2 linked regions of the Pelodiscus sinensis genome follow. The protein of the gene in region 2 interacts with the protein of the main gene of each other region in a pairwise test. Links are inferred from orthologs where the notes say so. Each region holds a gene or a part of one and is shown on either strand. Other genes may lie near its edges.

Region 1 (15,013 bases), on a different chromosome or scaffold from region 2:
GAAGACTTTCAGCTTTTAAGTCCCTCCCTGACAAATCCACACAGCAAACAGAATGGAAATCTACCTCGCTCATAGAAGAATAGTGGAGTTGAGCCTGCTGGGATTTGAACTGATGATTCCAGGCAGCCTAAATATGTCAGCTATCATGTTGCTATGGTGTGTCCCTCCTTTCCCTCTCATTTTCAGCACGTCTGCTTCTCTCTCTCCACTGAGAATACCATGGCCAGACATTATCTTATTCTTTTGGTGTCTATACTTTGAAAGTCTCCTGTCACAGGCTCTGTGCAAGACAGCAGTACAAGGTAGGGGAAGAGATGTTCATTCTCCCACATGTATAGCTGCAAGGGGAGCCTACTAATACAGTAAAACTCCAATAGTCTAACATCCAATAGTCCGGCACTCCTGATAGTCTGGCATCAAAATGGCAAGAGCCTAGTGAGTGAGCTTCGGCAAAAAATGAGTCACAAGGTAACAGCGGCAGCAGCTGAACTGAGCAAAAAGGGTAAAAAAGGCTTAAAAAAAACTAAAACATTACAGTATACTGTATACAGTATGTACAATAAAAAGGGTTAAGAACACTTTATATACAGTATATAATGTATACAGTATATATATAACCTGCTTATAGTACCTCCTGCTAGTCCGGGATATCTGATATTCCAGCACCACCTAAGTCCCATAGGTCCCGGGTTATCGGAAGTCTACTGTACTTATAGGGTACGTCTAGACTACATGCCTCTGTCGCCAGAGGCATGTAGATTAGGCTACCAGACATAGGAAAATGAAACGGCGATTTAAATAATCGCCGCTTCATTTAAATTTACATGGCTGCCGCGCTGAGCCGACAAACAGCTGATCAGCTGTTTGTCGGCTCAGCGCTGTAGTCTGGACGCGCGGGTGTCAACACCAAAGGTATTTGTCGACCACCCAGGTAAACCTCATCCCAGGAGGCTTACCTTGATGTCGACACCCGCGTGTCCAGACTATCGCGCTGAGCCGACAAACAGCTGATCAGCTGTTTGTGGGCTCAGCGCGGCAGCCATGTAAATTTAAATGAAGCGGCGATTATTTAAATCGCCGTTTCATTTTCCTATGTCTGGTAGCCTAATCTACATGCCTCTGGCGACAGAGGCATGTAGTCTAGACGTACCCATTTTGTGCTTTAGATTTTCAAAACATAGTCTAAGCATCAGCTAATTAATCCTCCCAGCCCCCATGTGAAATATGCCTGGATATATTATAGTCCAGTCTTACAGATGGGGTGGGGGGGGGGAGTTAAGTGCCTTTCCCAAGGTCACACACAGTCTCTGGCAAAGCCACAAATTGAACCTACCTCTCCTGAATCTCAGTCCAGAACTCTGCCACAAAACTGCTTCCTTTGCTGCCATTTTACCGATGGAGGGAAAAGGCACAGAGAAATTGAGCAACTTCCCCAAGGTCACAAAGCCAGTGGGAGTCAAAGGCAGGATTAGAAGCCACATCTCCAGACTGCCACTCCTGTGCCCAACCCCATCTACGACAGTACCCAGGAGCAAATTGCTCAGGTTCCTATTTTAACAGTGGCCACTGAGTTTGGGTTCCCAACTTGAGCTACCTTAGGCCAAATTGCAGAGTGGCTAAGCACTTGCAGCTCTCACTACTTTTTTTAGACACTCAGAGCTTCCAAAAGCCTGGGCCCATTTGCCTGAAGCTTTCCAGGATAGTGTATTTATGCCCAGCATTAAAATTCCATCTGCACAATTTCAAATGAATGGGGCCGGTATGAGTGGATTGAGGAGAGTTCAAGCGTGGAACAAGAGCGGAAGTAGCTTTAATTTCAACAATGGTAAGAGACGGGGTATGGTCTCTCCACAATGTCATGAAAAGGTATCACACCCCTCTTCTCAAACAAGAACTTATCAATACAAGTAAATGTCACCTGCTGCCACAGCAGCTGTTTTGGGCTGAACACTCATGCAGCAAGAGCGTCCAGAGATAATAGATAGCCATGGGGTTTTACATAGACTGGATAGAGAGATAGACACAAACCGAGAAGAAATCCTGAGGAGCAGAGAGCTGGCGGAGCATTATTACAAAGGAGTGAGTTCCATGACTGAGTGCCATCCACCTGAGCACAGCACCTGCATGGATATGCTGTTTCACACCCTGATGGAGCTGGAACATGAGAGCACATGAATGCATGTGTAGGCAAAACGTCAGGGTCTCTTGGGTTCATACTATTGCAATCGGCATGTGCAGCAGCACAGTTGAAGGAAAGCAGCTGGAATGGCCCATCACGCTGGAAGCCCATGCAGCAGAAGGCTATTTACAATTACTAGCCAGATCCTATTACTAAAAGATTGAAGGTGCTTTATAAATACAATTTAAAAGAACAGGGGGAATGCTTTTTCTCAGCTGTCGGAGAGATTTATTGCTCCATATTATTGAGTTTCCAAATCAGGACATGGTGAAGTGGCTTAAATCAGCTGAGATGGCATGCCCATTGGCTACCCCTTGAAAAATCCTTCCTTAACACGCTATGTCCTTGTAAGGTCCTAGGCTTGTCTTTACAATACCATTCACTCCAGTTAACTGAGATGCTCTTAGTTAGGACATCTGCCAGGCAACAGATTTGAGCTCGCTGATACTTAAGAGGGATAGTAATTCCATTTAATGAGAAACCTTCTGATGATTTAGCAGTGCTACCCAAAACCCTACTGTTTCCCACTTTCATGCTGGCCCAGTTGGTTTGCTTTTGAGCCCCCCAATAGCTGAGATTAAAAAAAAAAAAAAACCCACACCAAACACACGCGCACAGACCACGGTAAGAATTGCTGCTCGTCCCTGCGGCACCTTAAAAACCAACACATTTATTTGGGCATAAGCTTTAGTGGGCAAAAACCCTCTTCATCAGCACCACTTTTGCCCCCAACATCTTATGCCCAAATAAATTTTAGTCCTTAAGGTGCTACAGGACTCCTTGTTGGGTACAAACGAACACAGCAACCCCTCTGATGCTTGTCCCTGTTTTAGTTTGCCTCTTTAGTTTTCTGAGCATTGTGCAGCTGACTCCTGAAATATGCAGGCAATAGGGCTGGTCTCTGTTCAGATAGCACCTTCTCCTAACTATACATGCCCATTCTGTAATAGGATGGGTGCAGCAGCTCCTCAGCTGCATTAAAATTAAAACAGTTTCTCCTATTAATTGCATACAGTGTTCTCTGTTAGCTGTGTGCTTGGGTAGCCACCCAGGAAAGATTCACATGCCGCCCAGCTGATTAGCAAAGTGCCCACAACTAGCAGCATATGTTTCTACCAGGAGTGCACATTCTCACATGCCTTGGTGCACATAACAAATTTTATTCTGCACATGAATGGAAAAAATTAGAGGGAACACTGATTGGGTACCAATCTTTGTTGGGACATGATTAACTGATAATCCTAACAGTTACAGGCACACACACACCCCTTGCTGCCTCTGTATCAAGCTGGCTCATGTGTGTGCCAGCACCTGCAGAGCCATGTGCCCCACCACGCTGCTGCCTCTCTATCAAAACACTGGCTCTCACCTGTCCCCCCTGCATGTAAAAGTGTAGCCACTAAAAAAGTCAGCTGTTACACGTTCACAAAAATAAACAAGTTAACATTCCTGGCCTATTGTGGGAAGCAACCTCAGCTGGGGTGGTAAGATAAGTGCTTTGGTTATGGAAGGAACATGGAGAGCCATATGTCAGATTTCAGACACTTGTCTACAGTGAGAAGAACTGTATGTACTAACCACAAGGGGAGAGCATCAGTTCACTAGTCACAGCAAAGACTGTAACAGACAGGTGTACACAGCATGCAGCTTACGGGGGGAGGAGGAGGAATCATCTCACCTGCCTATATGGTTTCTCTGGGAGAAGATCATCACCCCCAGCAAGCCCACTCCCAAACTCACCTGTTTCCATCCCTCTCATTAACCTGTCTCTTAATCCACCCCCCTCTACCCAAGAGCCCTCTGCGAAAGGAGTGCAGAGGATACTAAATTCCAAGCTGTTAGCACGGTAGGAAGCCCTAGTGGCTATTTTCCTCTGTCCTCTTAATTAATTTCTGTCATTCAGCACAGCATTGTACTAGTTCAGCTTCCCCTAGCCCAAGATCAAAAAGTCCCCTGCTGAAGTAGTATGCCCTACTCCCTGGCATTTAATTAGGTCAGGAAGAAGCTGAAACAGAACACAACCCTCTTCCACTGAAATATACAGAATCACAATAACCTACAAAGGACACCTAAATTAAATTTAAATTTTAAATAAATGGAGATTGCCTATCTCCTAGAACTGGAAGGGACCTTGAAGGTCATTGAATCCAGTCCCCTGCCTTCACAGCAGGACCAAGTACCATCCCTGACAATTTTTGCCCCAAATCCCTAAATAGCCTCACAACGCCGGGTTTAGCAGGCCAATGCTCAAACTACTGAGCTGTCCCTCCCCCCATTAGGTAACTTTTGTCCGGCTATCATTTGTGACCAGTGCAGGACTGTTCCCTACATCATATTCTCCAGTGCTTTGCTCCATATATGCTACATTTAAAAACTACGGTTGGAAGTTTTTAAAGGAAGAATCTTATTGACTGAGACAGTTCTGGAAAATTTCAAAATAAATGCAAAAATGCCATAGACGATCCTCTAAGACTTTGGGGACTGGATGCAGCTCCCAGCTTGCCTGGATCCAGTCCCTAAGGCTCAGGGCTCCTCCCAGCATTGGGGAGCCCACACTAGTGAGATTGGGCTTTTCTTTTCACTTGTGTGCTGCAGCACTTTACTGATTTTTCTGTAGGTCAGTGGCCCCTGACCCAAAACAGATTCCACACCCTGCTCTACAATTTGATAGAGACGGTTCCAGAGAAAGGCATTATGGCACCTTCCCGAAGCCTCACTTTTCCTTCACTATTTATTTTTTTCAAATGTGAGAGTGGTTTGTCTCATGATTAGCAGGGGGACTGGGAACAAAAAAATTCTGGGTTCTGTTCCCAAACTCTGCCACAAACGGAATAATGTGGGCAAGTCAAATAATCTCTCTGTGCCTCAGCAAAGCCAGAGTAATAATTAATGGAGACTCTGAAGCTTAACTCATAAGGATGATAAAGTGTTTTCAGATCCATGTCTCAGAGTTCCTAGTCACATGTAACGTGTAGTTACTATTAAATTCCAAGGGACAGGGTTGGTCGGACGCAGTAAGTGTGAAAGAACCCCCCCTTACAGCCTAGGAAATGATTGAGGTGCGCCCAGGAGCCGGTCGCCCAGCACCCCACCTCACTCCTCGTTAGTTATTCTCCCCACCTAATGTCTCCCGCTGCCCTTCAGTCTCCTTAAATCCCAGGACAAACAAACCCACTTTCTTAACGCCCTTTACGGGCAGGAGGGGTCCCAGAGCTCCTTGCACCAGCTCCCAGGCGCGTGGCCTCGCCTTTCCTATATCCCAGGGATGCACCACGGCTCCCTCCCCTACACTCTGGGTCTCGGGGGCACCTCCCTACAGCGCGGGTATGAGGACGGGCTCCCGGCGTCTCTCCCTCTGTCCCAAGGAGCTGGGCGCGCTGTCCCAGGGCGTTTCCCAGGGTCCCCCCAGTCCCCTAGGCTCCCGGTGTGGCCTCCGCCCCCCGTGAAGGAGCCGGGGCGGAGTCCCCGAGCGGCCCCGGCGGTGGCCGGGTGGGGGCTGAGGCGAGCCCGGCGCGGCCAGGCCTGGTACTCACAGCAGGTCGGGCCGGTGCCGGTGCAGGATGGCGCAGAAGGCCAGGCCGTCGCGGAAGGAGCTGCTGAGGTCGCGGATCTCCACGCCGGGGTAGCCCTCGCACTGGCGGCGGCACCAGGCCTGCAGGGCGCCTCGGGGACCCGACATCGGGGCGGATCCGGGGCTCAGGCCGCCGCCGCCGGGGGGAGCCGCATGGGGAGGCGGGCCGGGCTCCGCGCTCTCCGGCCCGAGCCTGGGCGGGTTCCGGCAGCGGCCTGCGGGCTCCTGTCCCCGGCGCGCTGCCCCAGCGGGCAGGGGGCTCCGCCTGCAGGGCGGGGATCTCGGGGCTCCGCTGCGCTCCGTGCCCCGCCGCGGCTCGCTGCTCCCTCCTACCCCTGCGGGCGCCGGCTGCGCCTCCCTCCCCGCGCCGGGCTCTGCTCAGACCTGTCCCCGCCGCTCCTCCGCCCAGCCCGGCTCGGCTCTTCCCCAGCCCGAGCCGCGGCGGGGAGGGCCCCAGCCAGGCACGGGTCAGGGGCCCTGGAGCAGCGCATGGGCGCTCGGCGTGCCCGGGGGCAAGGAGGAGTGGCCCGCATTGCCACCCGCTGCCTCGTGTCCAGCTGGCCCAGGGCAGGTACCGTGACTGGGCCCGCCCGTAGTCTCGCAGCGCGCACGGCCAGGGAGGTAGGGTATGTGCCACGGGGGCTCCCTGCCTGGTATTAGCTAGCGCATGGAGATGCCACGGGGGGGGGGGGGGGGGGGTCAGCGCGTCTGACACTAGGAATAACGAGAGCCACAAGGTGGGCGAGGTAATAGCTTTTATTGGCCCCTCTTTTGTTGGTGAGAGAGGGACGCTTTGGACCTGTAGGGCGCTCTTGAGGGCTGGGAAAGCTAGTCCCAGCCACGTGGAACGACGTTAAATAGTGAGCACTAGTGAGAAACCATTCAGGGTAGGGTGTCCACTAACACCTCTCACAGGCCTAGGGGAAAAAAGGGGGGGCTAGTGCTTTCAAATTGTAATAAATCCTAAATACACTGTGTCTGTTCAGTCAGTCCACGGATTGGATAGTGTTTAGCAGAGTTATGAAGTTGCACTCTCACGGTCATAGTTTGAAAGGCTTCTGCAGGTTACGGATAAGGATATTTTATTTACATTGTGTATACAGCCCCAGATGGGGTGCAAGGTGCTTACCACACAGTAAAGTCACGGTCACAGGGCGTTTACAGTCTCACTTAAAACCACACATGAGGGCATCTGATAGCAGGGGAGATGTATGTCTAGTATGGGGAAACCCTGCAACCAAATCAGAGACCGGAGCAGGGTATGACTCAGACTGGGTGTGATAGGGCATGTGTTTTGTTGGTGCTGTTTTGGAGATCCCTCTCCCTTCCTCCTTACTAGTCCAGTGGAGAAAAATGGGCAATACCTTGCATCCAAAGTCAGTAGTCTGGCATGGATGGCCTAATTTGAGCTCCTTCCCTCAGGCAGCTGGAGAGAACAGCAGGATTGTGCGTAACAGGCACCCTGTCTAAACAATAGGGATATTGTGGTGCATTTGGAGCCGAAGGAGGGAGAGGAGAATGGGTAGCTTGGAAATCTAGGATATACAGTATGTCTCTCCTTTCCCCCACATCTACAGAGCCTGAGTCATTCTGCTGCCATAAGCAAACTACTAACTCTCCTGAACTCCCACAGTCTTACTGGACTGCAGCCAGCCAGCTATTAAACATTTTGCTGCCCTAGACAACTACCAGCCCTGCCTCCTCCATGCTTCGGGCCTGTTCTTCCAGTTCTCTAGGCATTTGCTACCTCAGAATGGAATGTCCTGATTGAGCATGGTTTGCTCTCAACCTAGTATTAATAAAGCATACCACTGCAAGCCACAATTCCTTTTGCAATCTATTGGCGCCTGCTCTGTGCACTTCCTCCACTGCTTTCTGGTGTGCTGAAAATATTTCATTGCCCATACCCTACAGGCAGGATGTGAACAAAGTACTTGGGGCAGAGTTTAATAGTAGGTTGGTTTTTTGTAGTACTTCTCCCCCAACATTTGAAAGCACTTCACAAAGGAGGGTGAGTATTGTAATTTGTTTTACAGATGGGGAAATGGAGGCTCAGAGAAATGATGTGACTTACCTACAGTCACAGTGCAGATCAACGGCAGAGCTGGCAATGCATCCTCAGGTCTCCTGAGTTCCAATAGGGTGTCTTGGATACTCATTGACTGACAATGGAAAATCTTACGACAGAATAGGTGTAATATTCCTACCTCTGCACACTGTATAGGATACCCCCTACCTTTGGTGGAGACAATTTATGGATCCTGCAATGAGGTTTCAGAACTTATTTGCAATCATGGACTGGGGTAGATGTTTTAGGTGCCTGGGGATTCTATCAAAGGAATGCCATGCAACCCTCAGACTCAGGCTGTGTCTACATTGGCATGATCTTGTGACAAAGTGGCCACTTTTGCACAAAAACATGCTTCCTGTCTACACTGGCGGGGAGTCCTTGCGCAAGAACACTGACGTTCTAATGTGTTAAATCAGTGCTTCTTGTGCAAGAACTATGACGCTCCCACTCAGGAATAAGCCCTCTTGCGCAACTGTTCTTGCGCAGGAGGCCAGTGTAGACAGGCAACATGAATTTCTTGTGCAAGAAAGCCTGATGGCTAAAATGGCCATCGGAGCTTTCTTGCATAAGAGAGCGTCTACACTGGCACGGATGCTCTTGCACAAAAGCACATCTCTTGCGCAAAGGCACATGCCAGTGTAGACGCTCTCTTGCACAAATACTTTAATGCAAGAACTCTTGCGTTAAAGAGTATTTGCGCAAGATCATACCAATGTAGACACAGCCTCAAAGCAATGCCAACAGATCCCAAACAAACTTTAAACATGGCTCCTGACCTTCAAAACATCAACGTGAGAGGACAGACAGTTTAAGTCTTTGGGGCTAGGAGGAGTATTTTGTTGCTTGGCCATCCTCTATACTGTCTTAACCCTTCAGTATAGCCCACACCAATCTCAGGAATGAGGAGCTATGAGCTTTTTGTCATTTTGTCTAATCCACAGCATTCAACGGCTATGTCTACACTGGCGTCTTCTTGCGCAAGAACATCTTGCGCAAGAGTTCTTGTGCAAGAAGTCTTGCACAAGAAAAGGTCCACACTGCCATGTGCAAGCTGTGCTTTTGCACAAGAGCACCCATGGCAGCGTGGACGTTCTCTTGCGTAAGAAAGGTCTGATGGCCATTTTAGCCATAGGGCTTTCTTGTGCAAGAAATCCCTGCTGAGTGTCCACACTGCCCTCTTGCACAAGAGCTCCTACGCAAGAGGGCTTACACCTGATAAAAAAAGAGCATAGCTCTTGCGCAAGAAGCTCTCTCATACCACGCCGTACTGTAAATTTCCTTGCGCAAGAGCAGGCAGGCAGTTTGGACGCTCTGCGGGTTCTTGCGCAAGAACGGCCATACTTGCACAAGAAGCTGCGAGTGTAGACATAGCCAAGTAGTACGAGATGGGAATAAACATAAGAACAGCCATACTGGATCAGGTCAATGGTCCATCTACCTAGTATCCTGACTTTCCACCAGTGCTAGGTACTTCAGAGGGAATGAACAGAACAGGCAATTATCACATGATCCCTCCCCTGTAGTCCACACCCAGTTTCTGGCATGGCAAACAGAGACTAGGGATACTCAGAGCATAGGGCTGCATATTGGACCACATCATCTCCATCACCCCCACACAGCCCAGCAAGGTAGTTAACTGAAGTAAACTCTCCAAAGCCTTTTATGTTACCAAATAGTGAAGCTTCCTTTGCTTTTCTGGTGATGCTATTCCACAGTGTAATAGACCACACTGTTAGTAAGTGATTCCTGATGTTCTGTCCTGGCTCTAGTACAGCCTTCATCACTGTGGTATATGAACATCTTCCAGTAGTGCATTAAGCAACATGACTAATAGCTTGTAAATATGGCTCTTCCTGTCTCTTGTCCGCAACTCAAGAGGAAATGGTGTGAAGATATTTTAAATGCATACATACACTGTATTATATATTTAGATTGGTAAACGTCAGATCAAAAAAAGAGGACTCCACACTTGGAGCGGAAGGTGGTGAAGTTTGAGACACCTCTTGCTGCAGGCAGTTATTACTGCTGAGAAGCAGAGCAATTGCCTGCAGTCCTTGTTCCTGAGCTCTATGGAGTCTGCCCAGTTCTTTTTGGCAAATAATAAATTAGCCAAAAATGAACATAAAAACAACCATGCTGGGTCAGGCCAAAGGTCCATCTAGCCCAGTGTTTCTCGACTTTTTTTTTTTTTTTAAATAAAGTACCACTTTAAAAAAAATTATAAGTACCCCCAGGACCTTTTACACTTTTCAGACACATTTTTTTCTACCATTGCAACACATTTGTTTAAACAACTTAATCATAGCCGGGTGGGCGATTTTTGGGTGTAAAAAATACAAAAATAATAAAGTGCTGTAAAACTTAAAACAAAAATTCCATTTTCTCCAAATTTCAGTGGTGTTGATGTACCTCCCCAGTCTTCTTTCGAGTACCCCTAAGGGTATTCGTACCACTGGTTGAGAAACACTGATCTATCCCAGTATTCCGTCTGTGATCCTGTGCTGATGGCCTATTGATTTTTGGCCAGTACTGCCACCGTGGGCTAGAGTCAAATGAGGCTGAAGGTAGGGATTATAACAAAGCCATCTCCCCCTTCGCTTCCAGAACAGCATTAGTGACATTCCAACAGTTTGACTCTGCTGCTGAATGCCCTGCATTTCTCCAGTTTCAGACAGTGCCAGGCACCATGTCTGGCTGAGTCCATCTTTCCACGTTATGCTAGGACTGCAGTTCCTTTGGCTTGTTTCCACAAAGCCAGCCCCCATCATTTAACCTTTTGCAGCCTCCTCTCTGAGGGCACAGAACCAGTCACACTGGTTGCAAGTGAGTAACAGATACATTATGTGCATCATGAGCAAATCTTTTGACAGATGCAAGCTGAGGAAGTGGCATATTTGACTATCTGAAAACAATGCATATGACTAATTATTTAAGGTTTAAGAGCACATGTACAATTAGAGTGTCTATAATCCTAACATACCAGTGACAGATTAGGAGTAGGCAGGGTGCCACTGGCAGTTCTTGCTTTACAGAAAACGGGTATTGCATTTGTTTGCTACTCTAAACAGAGGTACTGCCGTGGTGGATGTCTCTCTGCAGAAGAGATGGTGAAACAAATATGCTGCTGTCCACTGAAGTTGGCTGCTGGCCCAAGGGAAATTGAGATTCCCACTACACTTTTTGGAAAAATAAGAGTAGCTCAGTAACTCCACAGTTCTACCTCAGCCCATTTTGAGAAAGATGTTAGTGTTGGATGCTCTGCACAAATGGTCACAGAAGGGGCACTGTGCACTGCCATAATTACTTACTCTGCTACTAGTGGCAGATGTTCCATGGTCCAGCAATGCCAGCCTCATGTACCTGCATCTGGCTCTTTCCCCACAGCCAGCAGATGCATTCGTACACCCTCCCTATACTGGGGCATGAGGGCTATACCATCTCCTCTTTGAATCCCTCAAGACCCACTTGTAGTGTGATATCTACAAGAAAATGCCAACTAATAGCAGCTAGGAGGAAGATCAGTACAAATGATTGATGCCCTCTCCCCTTCCACTCTTGCCAGGTTGCCTGTTTTCTCAGAGTCTGACCTCTTTGGGGGGTAGGAAATATATTTTATGTTTGGACAGTGCCTTGTATTAGACACACCCATCGGTCAAATAAGGGGAAAAAATGAAATCTAATTCTTGCAGAACACTAAACAGAAAATAGTATGTTAAATAACCAACAGCTGATTGCAAAGACCCTCTTAGACAGGAATGGATACTAACAATTGTTCATATGGCACATGCTTTCTCTTCACCCAAAGGTCCTTCCCTTGCACCTGTTGCTTCATTCAAACTATTTAAAGATTGTCTGCAAGCAGAAAAAAATAGGGCTGGCTCTTTTTTGCTTCATTAGCCTATTCAAGTAATGCCCAAGATTTTTTTTTTTTTTTTTAAAAGCAGAACTATCAGATATGCAAATCTTGGCTAGCCTTGGAGAGGAGCTGGTGACTGGAGAACTAGAGAAATTAGCACAGGTCAAAACATAGATTTACTTTAAATTTCCTTCTCTATCAATTGGTATTGGCAAAACATTTCCCCAGCCCCCAGTGAATGTGTGGGAAAGAGGATCTCATATACCATGCTGTCTGCAAGACCACCAGCTGAGTCTCCAGAAAACCCAAATCCAATCAGAACAGACTTAACATTCCTGAGGTAAAAACAAACAGAATCCACTTCCTTTAAAAAAAAAAAAAAAAAAAAAAACACCACACAACACACACACACCACCCTCTTAGTAAGTCATCAGGCCCTTTTACCTCAAACCAGCAAAAAAAAACAGTCATTGGCTGTTTAAATTGCAGATAGGAGCATAGGCGAGAGAATGGATGATCAATTAGATATATAAACTCCTCCAGCCCCAGGCCACATGACTAGTAGCCCCTGCCTATGGTACCCATACTGAAACAAACTTGGGGACACATTAGCCACACCCCCTGCCATGCAGTCCCACCCTTAGGGTACGTCTAGACTACATACCTCTGTCGCCAGAGGCATGTAGATTAGGCTACCAGACATAGTAAAATGAAGCGGTGATTTAAATAATCGCCGCTTCATTTAAGTTTACATGGCTGCCGCGCTGAGCAGACAAACAGCTGATCAGCTGTTTGTCAGCTCAGCGCGGCAGCCACGTAAATGTAAATGAAGCGGCGATTATTTAAATCGCATCTTCAATTTCCTATGTCTGGTAGCCTAATCTACATGCCTCTGGCGACAGAGGCATGTAGTCTAGACGTACCCTTAAGAGTACTCCCAGGGTCAAGATGGACACAAACTGAAGTAAAGGGTGTCATGGGACTCATCTAAGAACTCCAACCAATAGGGATGGGTTTGGCTCCCACAGAACCCCCCCCCCCCGTAAGCTACTATTCTGCAATTGTATTAACCCAACTTGCATTGCATTAACTCAGGAGGAGAGGCTGGGGGAAGTGTCCCCTCAAGATTTTCCTCTCATGAGGAGTGAATTTTGTCTTGTGCACCAGTATTGAGTTCATGTGCGCTTGTTCAGATGTATACCACTGTGGCACCTGAGTTAATAAATATCTTATAAACCTCTCCCTTTTCACTCTGATGCCATGTCTCCTACCCTTCCCTCACCCCATCTGCCCCCCTGGTGCCTGCTGCCCCCCCTACTCTCATCCTCCTCTGCTGTCCTGACTCCTGCCCATCTCACTCCCCTCAGCCCTTTGGGGACCTTTCTTCCCCCTGTATCCACTCTTCCTCTAGCCCCACTCTGATCATCTGTAGCTCTCTCTCCCCATCCCCTCTCCTAACACCTCCCTCTACCCACCTGCCCTGCCTCTCTCCTGTCGCCAGTCCCACCCCTCCATGTGTCTACCCTTCTGCTTCACCCCCACATTACCCCTGGCACATGCACCTTCCCTTACCCCTACACTTCCTGGTGCTTCAAACCAGCACCTGCCCTCACTGCCCTTGCCCTCCTTCTCCCTGGTGCCCACCCTCTGCCCCAGTTCCCCTCACGCCTCTCTGTGCCCTAACACATGACTTGCTCCATCCCATCTTCCTCACGCCCACCCCTCCTTTCAACCCCTCATCTCCTGGCATCCACTGCTCCCCTCTCCCAGCAGCACCCTGTCCCCTACCTTCTTCCACCCCCACTGACACCTTCCCTCCTCTCCTACCTTTCCTCATTGTCTCTTCTGACACCCTGGCATTTGTCTCTCCTCTACCCTGGCCCTTGATACCTTCCCCTTTCTTCTCCTGCCCTGCCCCCACTCCTTTCAGCCCAAGACCCTTTCTCTCTAATGCCTACTTCCAACTTTAGTTCTCCCCCTGCCCCTTCCCTCACATTTTACCTTCGACATGGAAAGCAGTTTGTGGGGGCCAGTGGCGGGGCAATGGTACTATTTTTAGTATATTAGCCTGGCCCCAACGGCTCCCAGAAAGGGACTGTGTGTTGGGACTCGAACAGAGGCCACCCGTGATTCTATTTTTAGTTCCACGGTCCAGGTCCCCATGGGCTGCCCAGCTCCAGCAGGAGTCATGTGACAGCCACACAAGGCCCCTTCTGGTAAGGCTTCCCCGGCTGGAACGCCCCCCTATTTGCTGCTTGATTCCAGCTGGAGCGGGGGCCGCCTGCAGTACTAAAAATAGCACCGCATGCAGCCGCCTGCTGCAGTTCTGGCACCTGCCAAGCCCGAGCACACCCCGCCCTGCAGCACTCCAGCCGGGCTCTGCACGGCTACAAGGCACAGAGGCCCAGGAGTGGCTCCACCCAGCCCCACAGCAGTGGCAGCAGCAGCCACTGTACTAACAAGTGGCCCAGAGGAGGAGGAGGAGGTGGTGCCGCCAGACCAGGACCCTGCGTGGCATAGGCGGTCCCTTCAGGGAAGGGGGCTGGGGAGGGAGAGAGGGGTCGCATGCTACCGGAAGCCTGCCTGGCTGCCCACCAGCAAAGATCCAATGGAGCTGCCTACGTGCCCTCCTGGGGCAGTGGTGAAGGGAGGAAGCTGCTGAGATCCATCACTTCTTCCCACAAGCCGATGTCCCCATCAAGTAGTGAAATGTCAGGCAGGGCTTTCCAGGACACTTCACTACTTGATGGGGACACTGGGACAGAATATTTAAATTCAGGACTGTCCCGGAAAAATCAGGATGTCTGATCAGCGTACCCCTGTCTATCTACTAATCCTACAGTATTCTGGATTCTTGGTGTTCATAGGAGTTTTAGAAAGCAGGGAAGTGGCCTGTCCCCTACCCTTGTTGCCTAGAGGGAAGGCTGTGAGAAAGGGAACACATTGATAGCAGCCCAAGAATTCAGCCATCCCTCTTCCTAAAGAGCAGTTTGTCTCTGGTACTGAAAACACAGGGGAAGAACTCAATTGTTTATTAGTTAATCTCAGTCCTTTGTGGTATTGTGAGCTGAGCAGCTTGCCTAGAGGACACTTCAGCACTACAAGAGAGTCCAAAAATGCCAGAATTCTTAATCTCCCACCCTGCAGCAAATACAATAATTTTCCCTCCTCATTGCCGGTCGGCCTGGTGACAGTGAGTAGACATTTCAGGGTCTCTGGCCCATCTTCTTCAGAGTTCGATTCAGCTGAAAGAAAAGAAACAGCCTGTTCCAGAGAGGGGAGTTGGGGGGAGGGGGGAACACACCTTTCCAAGCACTCCCACATCCAAATGCGCAA
Region 2 (15,328 bases):
CCTGCCCACTGCCCAGGGCCCCACTTGCACCCTGCTCCTGCCCTCTGGCCAGACCCCATCCAGCACCCTGCCCAGACACCACCAGCACCCTGCTCCTGCGCCCTCCCTCCTGGCCAGACACCTACCCCCAGCTTGTTCCTATACCCTATTTTCCACCCAGATTTTACACCCCATCCTTATCCCACTCACTGGCACACTGGATCCCCTGTCCCGCACACTGGATCCCTCATTTTTGGCCCCACCTCAGAGTGTAGAGGGGCCCACAAATTCCACTTACCCTGGAACCCCAAAAGAGTTAATCTGGCCTCAGGCCTTGATCCTCAGTCCTACCTATCCTCCCACCATGGGGCTGGAGTGCCAGGGGAGGAAGGGGTCTCAGTTGGGATCACATCAGTGAGGCTTGGAGAGGCGTGGAGGGGTTGGGTTTTTTTGCATCTCACTTGTATGGCCCCTGACTGATTTTTCTGTGAGTCAGTGACCCCTGACCCAAAATAGGTTCCCAAACCCTCCCATAAAATAAAGACAATGCTGAAATGTTTGTGTTGGACATATTTTATTTAAAAATGAAGTCTGGCCAACAAGCTCCCAATTGGGGCCAAGCCCCCATCAAGCCGCAACATCAAAACACCCTTGCATCCTCGCACACACCCCAACCCTGAGCCTATCACATCCCCAGTCTTCTGCCACAACACTACTGCCCAATCCACACACTGCAAATCTGTGTCCTGTGCCCATCATACTCCCAACCCCGCTGCCCTGAGCCCCTCATACATCCCAACCTGAACTCCTGCACCCTCACATCCACAAGCCTGTGGGTTTGTTCAGCCCCCCAACCCTCCACTTGACCCTAACACTCTCCAGCATTGACGCCGGCAGAGCTAGTGCAGTGGGGGGGCAGTGGGGCACCCGTCACACCCTCCCACAGTACCTTAAAACCTTCTCCTGAAGGAAAAGTTATCCCATGGAAAGTTTGGTTGTGGTAGGCAGTGTCCAAGTTATTAGAGCACAAACATACAAACATTCTCCTTTATATATTAGATTTTAAATAATTTTTATAACATTTTTTTCTGTTTATTTTTAATTTTAAATTATTAATTGATTTTTTTGTTAAAAGGGGGGTTGGATGATGGTAAAGAAGAGGTGGGGAGGCGTGACGGTTTCTCAAAAATCAAAAGGGGGTGTGATGCCAAAAAATTTGGGAACCACTGCCCTACTGTATAAAATCTATACTCTGATGGAGCTCTGTTCTTACCTCTGTTAACAATAGATCAGGAGGCTTGGTTACACACCACAGCCACTACGCATCTTAGAGGAACCCAAAATACAGTACCAATCTTGGGAGGAATAGAAGCCAGGATAGGCATTAAATTCTGGCTCAAAGGCTAGGAAGTTAAGCAATCTAGGCCATAAGTGATCTGAGCTCCAGGAACCCTTTTCCAATTCATTAAACTCCTTGTTTAGTATAAGTTTGATAGTGCTTAATTCCTGGTATGTAACTCAAGGTATCAGTCACTTAATTCCTAGAATGTCGTTAAAGTGGTCCAGGCCTTAGAGAAGTTAAGCTAGATTCTTCTGAGACTATTTCTTGTATCCAATATTGCTCTTTTACAAGTCGCAATGCACGGTACAGTCAGGGAGGGACATAGTGGCGTCATAGCAACAGAAATAAAACAAGCCATCATGAATCAAGTAAGTCCACTTGAACGAGATCATCAGTTCTGGAGAATATTACACTTTGCCTATGATACATATATGAAAACTTTGCAGTATGTCAGTCTTACAGCTAGGGAAGGACTTCTGAGAATACTGAGTGATACCTTCGGGAATGTACGTGACTCATCTTATCATAGTTCCCCAGGGCATATCACTCTGGGGAGCATACTCCACAGAAGAACACCATTGTGTAGTGGGAGACTTGTACCAGTGGTATCCTCAGGCAGAATCCCTTTGTCATACAAACATCTGTATATGATCACATCTATTGCAAATGTCACTATAGCTTCATAGCTCATGCTACTAACCTCTCTGAAGTGCTTATAGCCAAACCTGGATGTGTGTGCATCAGGAGTTGGTACTACATCTGTACTATAAAACAGGTCTACATCAATGTCTAGTCTAAAGAAGTTAGTTTGTTGTGTTTAGGCTTTATTTTACATAGATGGGATAGTAAGTTTAGTTCCCAAGCATGGCATGCCCACAATATAACCTTAATTTATCAATTTTATAAGTATTTAGATCCAATTCATTTGGACATGAATTAAAGACTTCTCCGTCAGCTTTTGGTGCACATGGAGCTGGCGGCTAACTTAAACCAACTCCAAAAGCAAGGCTGAATGCTAGGGGCAACAATTCACCAATCACTAGCCACTATCATGAAAATACCCGCTAGACTACGGAAAACAGTTATGTTTTCATACTGATGCCAACAGTTGTTTTCCTTACCAGGGGAAACATCCAGCCTAAGGGAATGGGCTTTCCAACCATTAATCATTATGGCTCTTGTGGAAATAGGTATTGTTATTCTGATCATTATGCTCCTCATTTGTATTCACTGGTTTGATTTATCAGGTGAGCCACAATTTGAGAAAACGGTGGGATGTGAGCAAGTTTCACCATGCAATCCCAGGTGTAATGCCAACAAGAAATGGAAACTTAAATGCTGCCCCTCTCAAATTATGAAAATAACTCGTGAAGTTTGGGCTAAAGGGAATGTTTATGAAGGCAGCCATGTTGGATGGGTTGTGAGAGCAAAGGGTCTCCATGATGGAGAAGCTTCTTCTCTCTACCTGTAAGGGAAGGTGGGAAGACAGTGTAAAAAGAAAAGAAAAAAGAAAAAAGAAAAAAAAAAGGGGGGGCTGGCTGTTGTTTAGCAACCAGAGATTACAAACACAGTGTGGCGCAATAGGTAGGAGCTGGCATGCTCTCCTTGCACGCTCTTGGGAGTGGAGGAGGGACCAGGGTCATTAACTCGCTCTCCAATGTTGAGTCATACTCCAGTCAATTGGCCTACCTGACTATTTCTTTGACCACAATGGGAAGATATCAGGGAACCCTCAAGCTTGCTGTTTTGAGGAAAACATGCGTTCATTCACAAATCCTCCAAGTAGTTAGGACTAACTCACCTGCAGGATGACGCAAAGCGGAGAGGGTTGGGTATCAGTTAGGGCACGATACTTTCCTAATAACCCTGGTCAGTGCCTCCTCCTCGTGCGCCAATTCTGTCTCTGCAGCTTGAACCCTGACTTCCTGCCGACACCTGGAGAAAAGTAGGGGAAGCATCTTTCTTCGTCCTCTTTTATTTGTAAAAATGTCTGGTTTGTGTGCTGTAACAGCTGCTCTCCCAGGGTGTATCTAGACTACAGGGTTTTTTCGAAAAAACTGTACCTTCGTCTAGACTACTGCTGCGTTCTGTTGACAGTAAATCAAAGGAACGCGGTGGTTTTGTCAATGGCGGTAAACCTCATTCTACGAGGAATAACGCCTTTTTTCAAAAGTCATCTTTCGAAAAAAGGCACTATTGCATGAAAACAGGGCTTTTTCGAAAGAGAGCATCAAGACTCTCTTTTGAAAAAGCGAGCTGCTTTTTCAAAAAATCGTCTTGTTGTCTAGATGCTCTTTTTCAAAAGAGGCTTTTTCGAAAGATACTGTTTTGAAATAGGCATGTAGTCTAGATGTAACCCCACAGAGTTAATCCTCCCTGTCTCTTCCCTTCCTCCCCTCACTTAGGTCCCTTCCAGTCCTATGATTCTATGAAACCATGATGGACCTGACTGACCTTGGTTTAGCTTGTGAAAAGCAAGACAACCACAAAACCAGACTATGGAGCAAAAGAATCCAGCCACTCAAAAACAGCTGGATAGATATTAGAATGGCTTTGCAGATGTACAGTTCATGAATAGTAGAGACAACCAGTAGAAGAAATTGCACCTTTTTAACCAGAACTATGTTGATTTCTTCAGACTTATCTCATTTAAAAAAATAGAGAAAAAATGCACAAACATTTTTGAAATTGGAAAATTGTGAAAAAAATCAACATGCTGTTTCAAACATTTTCAGTTGAGATGCAAATGCTTTAAAGGTTTTTGTTTTACTTTTACTTCTACACTATCTCAAGTAACTAAGGAAGAAACTGAGGCAAGAAATTTGACCTGCAAAAAATACAATAACAAGGTAATTTTCTGCCACAATGAATATATGTGCAGAACAGGTAATCACCATCGGGATTGTGAACTATCCAACTTCCATGATCCATTTGGAGATCAGCTGGAAGAACTACTTGTTTAAGTAAGTCAGATCATAAAAAGAAATCAACCAGAGATGACAAAATATTTAACCAATGGGGGAAAAACATATTTATTCTAAAATATTTAGTATCTTGGGGTATGTCTACACTACAGCGCTAATTCGAACTAACTTAGTTCGAATTAGTTAATTCGAACTAAGCTAATTCGAACTAACGCATCCAGACTAAAAAACTAGTTCGAATTAGCGTTTTGCTAATTCAAACTAGCATGTCCACATTAAGTGGACCCTGAACCGGGGTTAAGGATGGCCGGAAGAAGTGCCGACAGGGCATCAGATGAGAACTTAGAGCGTGGAGCTGCTGCCTCAGGCTAGCCAAGGGCTGTACTTAAAGGGACCCGACCCCCACCCCCCGGACAGACAGTTCTCAGGGGTGCCCTGCTTGCAAAGCAGTCCTGTCTTGGAGTGCCCTGAGTGCCCACACTGGGCACATCACAGCACTCGGCCATCAGACCGGCTGCACTTGCCGCAGGCTGCCATCTGGGGAGAGCGGGCAATTGGGGGGCTGCAGGAGAGCTTCCACCCCCAGAAGCCCACAAAGCCAGCCCAGTCCTCCCCATCGGGGGCTCATACCCCATTTCTCCCTCACCTCCTTCCACTTACCCTTCCCTAGCCCCCCTTCCTGATGTACAAAATAAAGAAAATGTGTGTTCAAAAATAGAATCTCTCCTTATTGAACAAAACTGGGGGAGACTGGGAAAAGGAGGTGGGAGAGGGGAAGAGAGAGGGTGGGAGAGGGGAGGACAACTAAAATGATCAGAGGTTTGGAACAGGTCCCATATGAAGAGAGGCTAAAGAGACTGGGACTTTTCAGTTTAAAAAAGAGGAGACTGAGGGGGGATAGGATAGAGGTCTATAAAAGCATGAGTAGGGTGGAGAGGGTGCATCAAGAAAAGTTCTTCATTAGTTCCCATAATAGAAGGACTAGAGGACACCAAAGGAAAGGAATGGGTAGCAGGCTTCAAACTAGTAACAGAAAGTTGTTCTTCACAAAGCAAAGAGTCAACCTGTGGAACTCCTTGCTGCAGGAGGCTGTGAAGGCTACAACTAGAACAGAGTTAAAAGAGAAGTGAGATAAAGTGATGGAGGTTGGGTCCATGGAGTGGTATTAGCCAGGGGGTAGGAGTGGTGTCCCTGCCCAAAGTTTGTGGAAGGCTGGAGAGGGATGGCACGAGACAAATGGTTTGGTCACTGTCTTCGGTCCATCCCCTCCAGGGTCCCTAGGGTTGGCCGCTGTCGGCAGACAGGCTACTGGGCTAGATGGACCTTTGGTCTGACCCAGTACGGCCATTGTAAGCTCAGGGCTCAGGGTCGGGGGTCTCAGTGGACCACCTTGATTTTCATGCACACCTGCTCCTGGACGGCAAGGCTGGCAGCTCTCCTGCCCTAGACGGCCACTTTCCTGTGCCTAGTGCGGAGGTCGTGGACGAGGTCCATGATGTCCGCACTAGACCAGGCGGGTGCCCGCCTCTTGCGGTTCTGGGCAAGCTCCCGGGAGCCGCCAGCCTGGTCCCGGGAAGAGGGGGAGGACTGGGGGGCATCGGGTGGCTGGCTCGAGCCGTGCCTGGTGCAGGGTCTGCCAGCTGGGTGCTGGCAGGCTTGCACCTGGCACGGGCATCGTAGCCAGCCCATGCCCCTTTAAGGGGTCCAGGGCCGGGAGGGGGGCAATAGAGTTTCCCTGGTGTTGGCCAGAGTGGCCACCAGGGAAAGCTGGAGAGGGCTAGCCTCCCACTAGTTCAAATTAAGGGGCTACACACCCCTTAATTCGAACTAGTAAATTCAAACTAGGCTTAGTCCTCGTAGAATAAGGTTTACCTAGTTCGAACTAAGCGCTCCGCTAGTTCGAATTAAGTTCGAACTAGCGGAGCACTAGTGTAGCTCCTATCAAAGTTAATTCGAACTAACGTCTGTTAGTTCGAATTAACTTTGTAGTGTAGACATACCCTTAGAGATAATGGAACCATCAAATGTAGCTCTTTTATATTCTTCATGAAAGAATGCTACAACAGAAATAAGTGAATACAAATATAAGGGTGATCTTGGCCTATTGGCTTCAGTGGGACAGAATTTCACTCCAATCTTACAAAATGATCCCACTTTCACAAGAAGTTATCTCTATGAAATCTCTTGTAGTTTCTGTGATTACAATAAACACTAGCACTGGTGGTCATACACTATCATTGCCATTCTAAGGTGACTCTTCACTGGAGACTACTAGAAAAGGAAAACCACATTTAAGAGCCTGAAAACCCTATTATCCCTTACTTGTTCATTCTTATTCAAATGCAAAGACTGTGTTTTGTATCAAATGGCCAACACAGAGGACCACTTTCATCCCAGTCAGTCTTCAGCAGATATAAATTGACTGACTGCCTTTCATGCAGAGTTGGAATTGTTTATGCAAAACAAATTTGGTTGCAAGATTCTTGAATGCAGCTTGAGTTTGGTCGGGGTATTTTCACTATCAAGTGTGTGTTATATGGACCACCCAGCACCAGGTAGAAGGTGCCAGAGCTTCTGACTTGCTGGGAGCTGTTCAAAAATGCCTCCTGACAGCGTTCTTAGTGAAGGATTTAAGGCTTGCCTTCAATACCATGCTACATCTGCCAACATAGCACATTTAGAGAAATGCTCTGTTAATGAAAGAGCGCTCTCCCTTTCCACCAACTTCATACCACACAACAGATATACTAACTCAAGAACCAAACCCTGCAACAAAACCTGTTGCCAACTCCGTCCACACCATCATAGGACCTAACAACAACAGCTATACCAACAGGGGCTCATTCACCTGCATATCTACTAATGTGATATATGCCACCATGTGCCCACAATGCCCCTCTGCCACGTGCCTTGGCCAAACCGGACTGCCCGTATGCAAAAGCATAAATGCACACAAATCAGACATCAAAAACAACTACATTCAAAAACCCATAGGAGAGCACTTTAACCTTTCTCAACACTCAGTAATAGACTTGAAAGTTGCCATACTTGACCAAAATAACTTCAAAAACAGACTGCAGCATGAAAATTCAGAGCTGGAATTCATATGCAAACTTGACATTATTAGGCTGGGGCTAAAAAGAGAATGGTCAGGTGAGCTGACAGCCTCTGTGGGCCTCTGGGCAAGGTGAGAGGTGGGCCAGCTCTGCACTTCTGGAAGAGACGGGGCCTCAAGTGGAAGGGGCGGCGGTAGACGCAGTCAGCCCTGTATGTTTCCTGGAGCATGGAGTACCTCCTCGCAGAGCCATATGAAGAATGCTGCACAGTGTTCCGGCAGTGATTTAAAGAGCCCAGGTCTTCAGCTGCTGCCACAACTACCCTCTTTGTCCCCATCAGCAGGCCTGATTATGGGAGTGGTTAGTTCACTGCAAAAAGTAATTTTCCCTCTTTTGATATTCACACCTTCTCATCAACTGTTGGGAATGGGCTGCATCCACCCTCGCCAAACTGACCTCGTTAGCTGGTCCTCCGCATAGTAATGCTACACTCCCATCTTTGCATGTGTATATATATCCCTGCCACACATCTGATGGTGTGGGCTCCAGCCCATGAAAGCTTATGCCCAAATAAATTTGCTAGACTTTAAGGCACCCCTGAGTCCTCATTGTATTTTGCTGAAACAGACGAATACAGCTATCCCTCTGAAACGTGTCATCTTCCCTCAGTTATCATGACTTCCTAATTCTCACAGAAACAAATGGAGATGACTGGTAATTTGCTTGTCTTTTCTACTTAGATTATGAATGATTCAGGGCAGCGACAGTTGTTAGAGGGTGTGACAGGCTGTCACTGACCCGGGGGCGGGACGGCCGGAGCCCCCGCCGGCAGGGGGCTGGCAGCCAGGTACGGATCCCCCAGTACTTCCCCAACGCGAACCGGAGGGGGCGGTGGACTGGGGCACTACCCCCGCGCCTGTGCCGGCGACGTGAGCACGGCCCGTCCCCCGAGGCCCCGCACGGCGAGGGCGGGGCGGAGGGACACGGCTACCAGGCAGGGCCACACGCCGGGACGTGCCCGGAAGGGGCGGAGCCCTGGGTGGCGGCCGGCGCGGCGGGCCGATTTAAAAGGGCCCGCCGCCAACGGGGCAGGGGGCAAGCTCCTCGCAGCGGCGGAGGGGCGGCCCCTGCCACAGGACGGAGCCCAAGCGCCACGCCGCCCGGCTGTCGGCCCGGCGTTGGTCCCGAGGCCTCCGGGACAGCCACTGCCCCTGGCAATCGGTCAGCCCCTCTTCAGACGGCGGACGGACCCCGCCGTGCCGGACCAGGAGGGAACGGGACAGCCAGGGCCGAACCGGGACCAGAGAACCCGCCCCAGAGACCTCGCTCGGACACCGGACGCCACGGACCGCCGAACCAGGGTAGGTTCAGGGGCACCGGGCGTGATCCGCAGGAGGCACCCGGAGGGAGGAAGGAGCCCGGGGCAGGGCGCTTTTGGCGACCGTGGGTGGACGAGCTTAGGAGGGAGTGAATCCTCCCTTCCCCCATTCACCGCGCCGGGGCACTAGCAAGCCCCGGCGCCCAGGGCCCCGGGCTGGGACCCGGAAAAGGGGCGGGACCGGGTCCCCTTCCCTCCCCTGTAGGAACAACCCACTCCCAACGACCCTAGCAAGGAGAACTACGATGCGGACCCCGCAGAGAGGGGAAACCCCGACCAGGGGCCGGCGCCCCACTCCGCCTGGACGGGTAACTATCATAAGGTTCGCTGACCCCCCCTTTCCCCTGGGAGGGGGTGATCGCACCCAGGACAGGGGCCCCCTAGCAGGGACCCGGGACCCAACAAGGGATCAAGAAGGGGTCAGAGGGTTCGCAGACCCCCCCTCTCCCGCGGAGAGGGGGTGATCGCACCCCCGAACTCCTACAGAGGGCTTATCCCTTCACCCTTCTACTTCCCTGGTCCTTTTAATGTCAACAGAGAACAGCAATACCCAAGACTGGAGATGCAAAAACTTCCATGTTTACTGGGGTTAGCTTTCAGCAAGCATGATTTCAGTTTTCTTTCTTTTTCCCCTTGTTTTTCTCCTCTCTCATTTCCTGTTTGTTCCTAATATATTTAGCAATAATTTCAGGTCTACCTTAACCAATCATTCTACTGAAATTTAACTAACAAATCTTAACATATTGAAATGTGATTATCTAACCAATTATATCCCACCACCTTAGTTGGTTTACACCCAGCAAAATTAATTATTCAGGAGACACAAACAATCAAAGAACCAGTCAGAACCATACAAATAAACAATAGAGAAATGGGAAACATAATAATAAAGCAATACAAATTGCAAATTTTGCAACCCCAAATATTAATAAGTCCTCGCCAAATAGAAAGCTATCAACCCACTGGCTAAAAATGTGCCAAAACTGGTTTCCCAGCTTATGGATGCCTCGGTTTCTTAACCTAAACCAGTTTGAAAATAAGGTCTTAGGCCATCATATACAAATACTGTGATTTTAATTATTTGGTTTTATACCTCTGTAGGAAAACACCTAAATTCTTACAGTATAGGCCGTAAAAGGCAGGCCTGAATATCTATATCCTAACAATAGTCTCTTATGTTTGGATGATTTTAGCAAAGCCAATACAGAAAAAATAATTAACAATAATTCAGACTCTGTAGACATGCCCAGTGTTTGAAGAGGCAATGGAAAATCAGCTCTCTGACTTCTAGAGCAGTGGCTTTCAACCTTTATTTCAACCAAATAAAAGATTTGCAGACCCCCTAAACAATTTTAAATGTTGGTGCAGCCCCTACTGGAAATATTAGCTGTAGTCTGCAGATGCCCATGGGTTCATGGGCCACAGGCTGAAAACTATTGTCCTACTGCAGTGGTCTCCAATCTTTTTAAGCACAAGATCACGTTTTGAATTTTAAATGCAATATAAGATCTACCTCAAACCCAAATACCTTGCCTCACCTACTTCATGTCCCTTCTCTGAGGCCCTGTCCCTGCTCACTCCATCCTCCCTCCCTTCCCCATCTTCCCTCCCTTTCACCAGGCAGAGGCAGCAGGTTGCGGCACAAACTCTGGTCTTGGGCTAAGGGATCTGGAGTGTGAGGGGGCTCTGCGCTGAGTCTGGGGCAGGGAGTTGGGGTGCTGAAGGGAGTTTAGGGTGTAGTCTTTGGGAGGGAGTTTAGGTTCATGACTAGGGCAGGGGTTCAGAGCTGGCTCCAGCTGGACGCTGCTTACCTCAGGTGGCTCCTGGGTGGTGGTGCAGTGGGGCTAAGGCAGGCTTACCGCTGCCCAGCCCTTGCATCACTCCCAAAGGCAGCCAGTAAACTCCCTCCATCCTAAGCTCTGTTGTGCTCCCTAGCTCTGTTCTGTGGAGATAGGATACAGGATGGGAGAAGGGGCACCCTGACAACAGCACTCCTCCTGTCCCTTCCCTGCTCTGTGCCACAAGCAGGAGTCTTGGGGCGGAGGGAGCTTCAAGGCAAAGGGCAGGAGGTGCACAGCAGTGGGGAGAAGGGCAGCTGAAGTGCTAATCTTGATAATAGCCTCTTGGCCAAACTAGTGAAGATCACCTGTCAGAAGCTCCACGATCTACCAGTAGATCCCGATCTACTGGTTGGTGACCACTGTCCTATTGGATAGTACACTGCATAATCACTGGAGCAACAGCAGAACCTCTTCACATTTCTGACCTTTATTCCCAGTTATTCTCACTGAAATAGGAGGTCGCTGTGTATCTGCAGTGTCCGCCATGGAGCAACTTCGGATTTAAACTGGCTTCCGTGAAAGGAGAATCAGGCCACCAAAAATCTGTTGGATTTGTCTTTTCTAATCAAATTTCCATGCTACAGTTGGTGGAAATACAAATGTGACTTTGTGAAGACTGTGCAAAATTAAATCTCTCTTCTATCAAGGTGCACATTTTCTTTCCCTGTCTGAAACAATGTACAACCAAAGAAAAAACTAGATCTTTTGGAACAAATTATTTCTGTTTTCAATACACCAACCTGCAAAGAGTATTCAAGTTCCGGGGGGGGGGGGAAGCGGGGGGAGGAAAAAGCAGAGCTGAACATACATAATATGTTGTGGTGCTTAATACCTTATGCAATATAGCAGGCTTCAACCAGCATGGGACAGATTCTGCCATTATAGTTACTGTTCATTAAAATTAAATGGAATTGTTGACAATAATTATTTGTTACGGAAGTGTGTTGTAAAAGAGAACGTGGCAAATCATATATATAGTAGCCCAGTGTCTGCCCTCTGGGCAGCCCATGATGCATGGGAAGTGCGGGGCCCAAACGGCCACTTGCTCCCCCACGGTGGCCTGGCTGAGCGGCACAGAAGTCAGCCGAGTGCCACGGCGGGAGGCGAAGGGGGGCGGTACGGTGACATGTGGCGTGACAGTGGCTCCAGGCCCCGCCCCCTGGCTCTGAACATCACCACCCCGCCCCCCTTCGCCTCTTACCATGGCGCTCAGCTGACTTCTGTGCTGCTCAGCCAGGCTGCCGCATGGGAGCAAGTGGCGCAAGCAACCATTTGGGCTCCACGTTCCTCATGCAGCACAGGGAGTGTGGAGCCCAAACGGCCGTTTGGGCTCCACAGACCCCCGAGTAAGAGGCAGGAGGGGGAGAAGAAGAGAAAGAGAGAGACAGAGAGAGAAGCAGGAGGCAGAGGAGAGCTGAGAGAGTGAGAGAGAGAGAGAGAGAGAGAGAGTGGGAGGCAGTAGGAGGAGAGAGAGAGACTGGAGGCTCAGGAGAGAAGACCGATGTGGAGGAGAGACCTGAAAATCCCGTCTTATGATGGGCTAATTGGCAAGTATAAAAAGGATAGGATGTAAGCTCACATAAGCTCTCAGCCTGCATACAGATGTCATGGTAATGGCAACATAGGTTTGCCTAAAGAAGAAACAAACACAAATTGTTTGCCAAAATTCAAACTGAATCTTTTCAGTAAAAGTCTGAAAAGTTTGAAAGTTTTCCTTTGCCTGTCATCTTTGCTAGATCTGCACTTTCGAGTCCACCCCTCTTGCCACTAAAGTCAATGGGAACTCTATCACTAATATAAATGAAACCAGGAGCAGCTTGTGCCCAATTCCAGACAGGGCCAAAACTGGAGATGTTGAACCTCGAAGGTTGCTAGGTATCCAGTATTCAACCGGACAGTCCATTTTTTGCCCCCTCTGTCCAGTAAAAAAAATCCAGAAAATACCAGACATGTGCAATGTCCGGTATTTTCTGCTTTTCTGGCTGGGCACCTGACAGAAACTTGGCATGGGTGGGAGGAGTGGCCGGGGAGGCAGGGCCGTGATTGGCGCTGGGAGCCCTCAGCTCAGCTGGTTGCATGCAGAAGCCTGGTGAGGTGGGTGTGGTGGCTAGAGACGTGTGGCTGGAGACGTGGGGCTCCTAGCACCGATCGCGGCCCTGCCTCCCCAGCCACTCCCTCTGCCTCTGCCAGGCTTCCGCACGCAACCAGCTGAGGGCTCCCAGTGGGAATAGGGAATTAGCCCCGTCCTCTTTGGGAAGTGTAAATTACTTCACCCCTTTTCATCAGACAGTCTGCCCTCTGCTCAGAGCCCAGCCAGACATTCTGGCCCAGGAGTGGGGGTAGAGTACGGCTCCTTCCACTTTCTGGTCACAGATTTTCAGGCATATAATCCACTTCTTCTCATGGCCAGAATATGGGACAGGCTTGAATCCCCCTTTATTCCCCTCCACAGCTGAAAAAAGGCTCTGAGAGGCTAGCTCAGCCTGGCAATAGGATTGCCAGGTGGGAGCCTTCAGCTGGTTGCATGCTGGGAGGTTCAGGGAGTCAGAATATATGATGTAAACTGTTGAATGTTTATAATAAAGTCCCCATTCAGTGTTAAGCATAGTTGTGGTGGGTTTTGTTTGTTTGTTTGTTTGTTTGTTTGTTTGTTTTGCTCAACAAATTTTTAGCACGTTTGTTCGGTATTTATGTATTTATGGTTTTTGTTGGGGTATTTTTGCTTGACAAATTTTTAGCACGCGTGTTCAGTATTTCTGGGAATCCATCTGACAAACCCATGAACCTCTGCTTCTATTGAAGCAATGGCAAAACTCCAGTCAACTTCAGGAAATTGGCAGGAATTTCACTCTGTGAAATCAAAATGTTTTGTAACCAAAAGTTATTTCCTCTCTGTCATACATGTACACTGGTTTGGTGAAGTGTGGTCATAGCACAGGCATATACAGATTTTTTTGCCATCTGTGGACTGCTGGTACTGTGGTTTTATTAAAGGTTGTTTTGCATTAAAAACATTGAAAGGGAAAAAGTTGCTCAGATTATGGGCCAACCAGCTATAAATGTCCTATTTAATAATATTTAGTTATTACTGTAAGAGTGTAGATTAAAATAGTCAAAGTGGGACACCTCATTCTTAATTTAGGTATCTAAATAAAAGGTGCCCACTTTTCAGGAGGGGCCACAGGGCATGTAATGCTTCGAAGACACTTCAGCCAGAGAAAGGTTGTTTGACATCACTGGAAATCAGTCAGAGGCTAAATGTGGAGCTAGGTACCAACCTCTAGGCATGTAGTTTGAAAATATTTGCCATGATTTTCTTCTACCAATGCCAGCCACATATATGGCAGACAGGGTGGATTAATATAGTTCATATTTTAACCGCGCTGTTCTATGCCTAGTAATGTTACACATAACTAAAGAAAAACAATAGGTTTGCTAACATGGCTAAAATGCCAATGAACTATACTACTCAGCTGGCAGGTGTAGTGATTGCTGACATAAAAATGAAACCCACCACAATACAAGCTCCCTTGCGGGCACTTTTCACAAAGACATCAGAGCCTAAAGAGGCAACAGAGACTGCACTACCTTCTCCGCCCCAGAGTTCAGGTGAGGACTGAGGTACATTTTGGGGGCAGTATGACAGATCACAACATATCCTCTCTCTCCCTCTCTCATAGATATACTAGAAGATTTACCTGGCATTGCTCAGATCCTTAACTCAATTTTTGTTTTTTGGAAAATAAAATGAAAAAGTACATGCTTCATTGAAATCATTGCTGTGGGGTGGGCCTGGGGATGAGGGGTTCAGTATGCAGACTGCCCCAGGGAGAGAGGATTACCCCAGCCCTCTCTCACAGCAGCAGCTTGAGGACCGGTTGAGAGGTGCCTCTCCACAGTCACTGCAGCTCTCAAAGGAACAGTGGTGGGGAAGGGTGCATGTTCCCAGCTAAGTCCAGGTTCATCTGCCGTCTGCACTCCCCAGCCAGAGTGAGGAATGCAGCAAACTGCACTGTTCCCTCACTTGCTGCCCCCTGTGGTCATTCTGGAGTATAACGGTCTTGGCTATCACAGCCCTGCATTTCCGTTTGATGAGAAACAATCACATTCTATGCACATCCCATTTTCCTGACACAACCAAACTCTGACTTTGCTTTAAGTTATGATGAGAGGAAGCTGCACACCACTTGGTGGTCCTAGCTCTTACCATTTAGGAGTTCTTGAACAAACACTCACAGATGGAAGGACAGACAGACACACAAACTCCTTCAAATATATAGGAGATATATAAAAGTCTCAGAGGGGTAGCCATGTTAGTCTGTCACTTTAAAAAAACCTTAAAAAATAACAAATGGTCCTGTAGCATCTTAGAAACTAACCAAAAAATATAGATAGACCATGAGCTTTCATGGGCACAACCCACTTCTTCAGATGAAAAATATGGAGCAAGAGGTTCGGGGGTACAAATATAAAGTAGAAAAAGAGGGGAGAGGAGCAGAGGGAAAAAACCGTCAATTAAAGTGTCTGTGCTAAATGAGACTAATGGAGTGGGCTGTAAGTGCCCAATATTTAGCTTCTGATGTCATTTGGGTTTTGAATATACAGGTAGTCCCCGGGTTACATGGATCCGACTTACATCGGATCCCTACTTACAAACGAGGTGAGGCAACCCCGCACTAGCTGCTTCCCCCCAGCAGACTAGGGAGACGCGAAGCTAGCGCCCTCCTCCCCAGCAGATGAGGGAGACACAGAGCGGCTTTTCTCAGCAGACACCTCAGCTTGAGAATAAAGGACTGAGGGAAGTGAGG

What was found.
Region 1: the proteins of EHD3 (region 2) and MICALL1 interact in binary tests that used the Homo sapiens proteins (3 or more experiments, as listed by UniProt). The link is inferred for Pelodiscus sinensis from reciprocal best matches to the Homo sapiens genes EHD3 and MICALL1.

Annotation. Positions count from the first base shown.
Region 1 is NC_134711.1:92,178,058-92,193,070, forward strand, and holds the start of MICALL1 (MICAL-like protein 1), read right to left. Parts: upstream 6,357-15,013; 5' UTR 5,859-6,356; coding exon 5,713-5,858; intron 1-5,712. Other genes in the region: EIF3L (eukaryotic translation initiation factor 3 subunit L), read right to left, coding at 14,884-14,922. UniProt on the Homo sapiens protein: Lipid-binding protein with higher affinity for phosphatidic acid, a lipid enriched in recycling endosome membranes. On endosome membranes, acts as a downstream effector of Rab proteins recruiting cytosolic proteins to regulate membrane tubulation.
Region 2 is NC_134713.1:158,565,760-158,581,087, reverse strand, and holds the start of EHD3 (EH domain-containing protein 3), read left to right. Parts: upstream 1-8,408; 5' UTR 8,409-8,662; intron 8,663-15,328. UniProt on the Homo sapiens protein: ATP- and membrane-binding protein that controls membrane reorganization/tubulation upon ATP hydrolysis. In vitro causes tubulation of endocytic membranes. Binding to phosphatidic acid induces its membrane tubulation activity.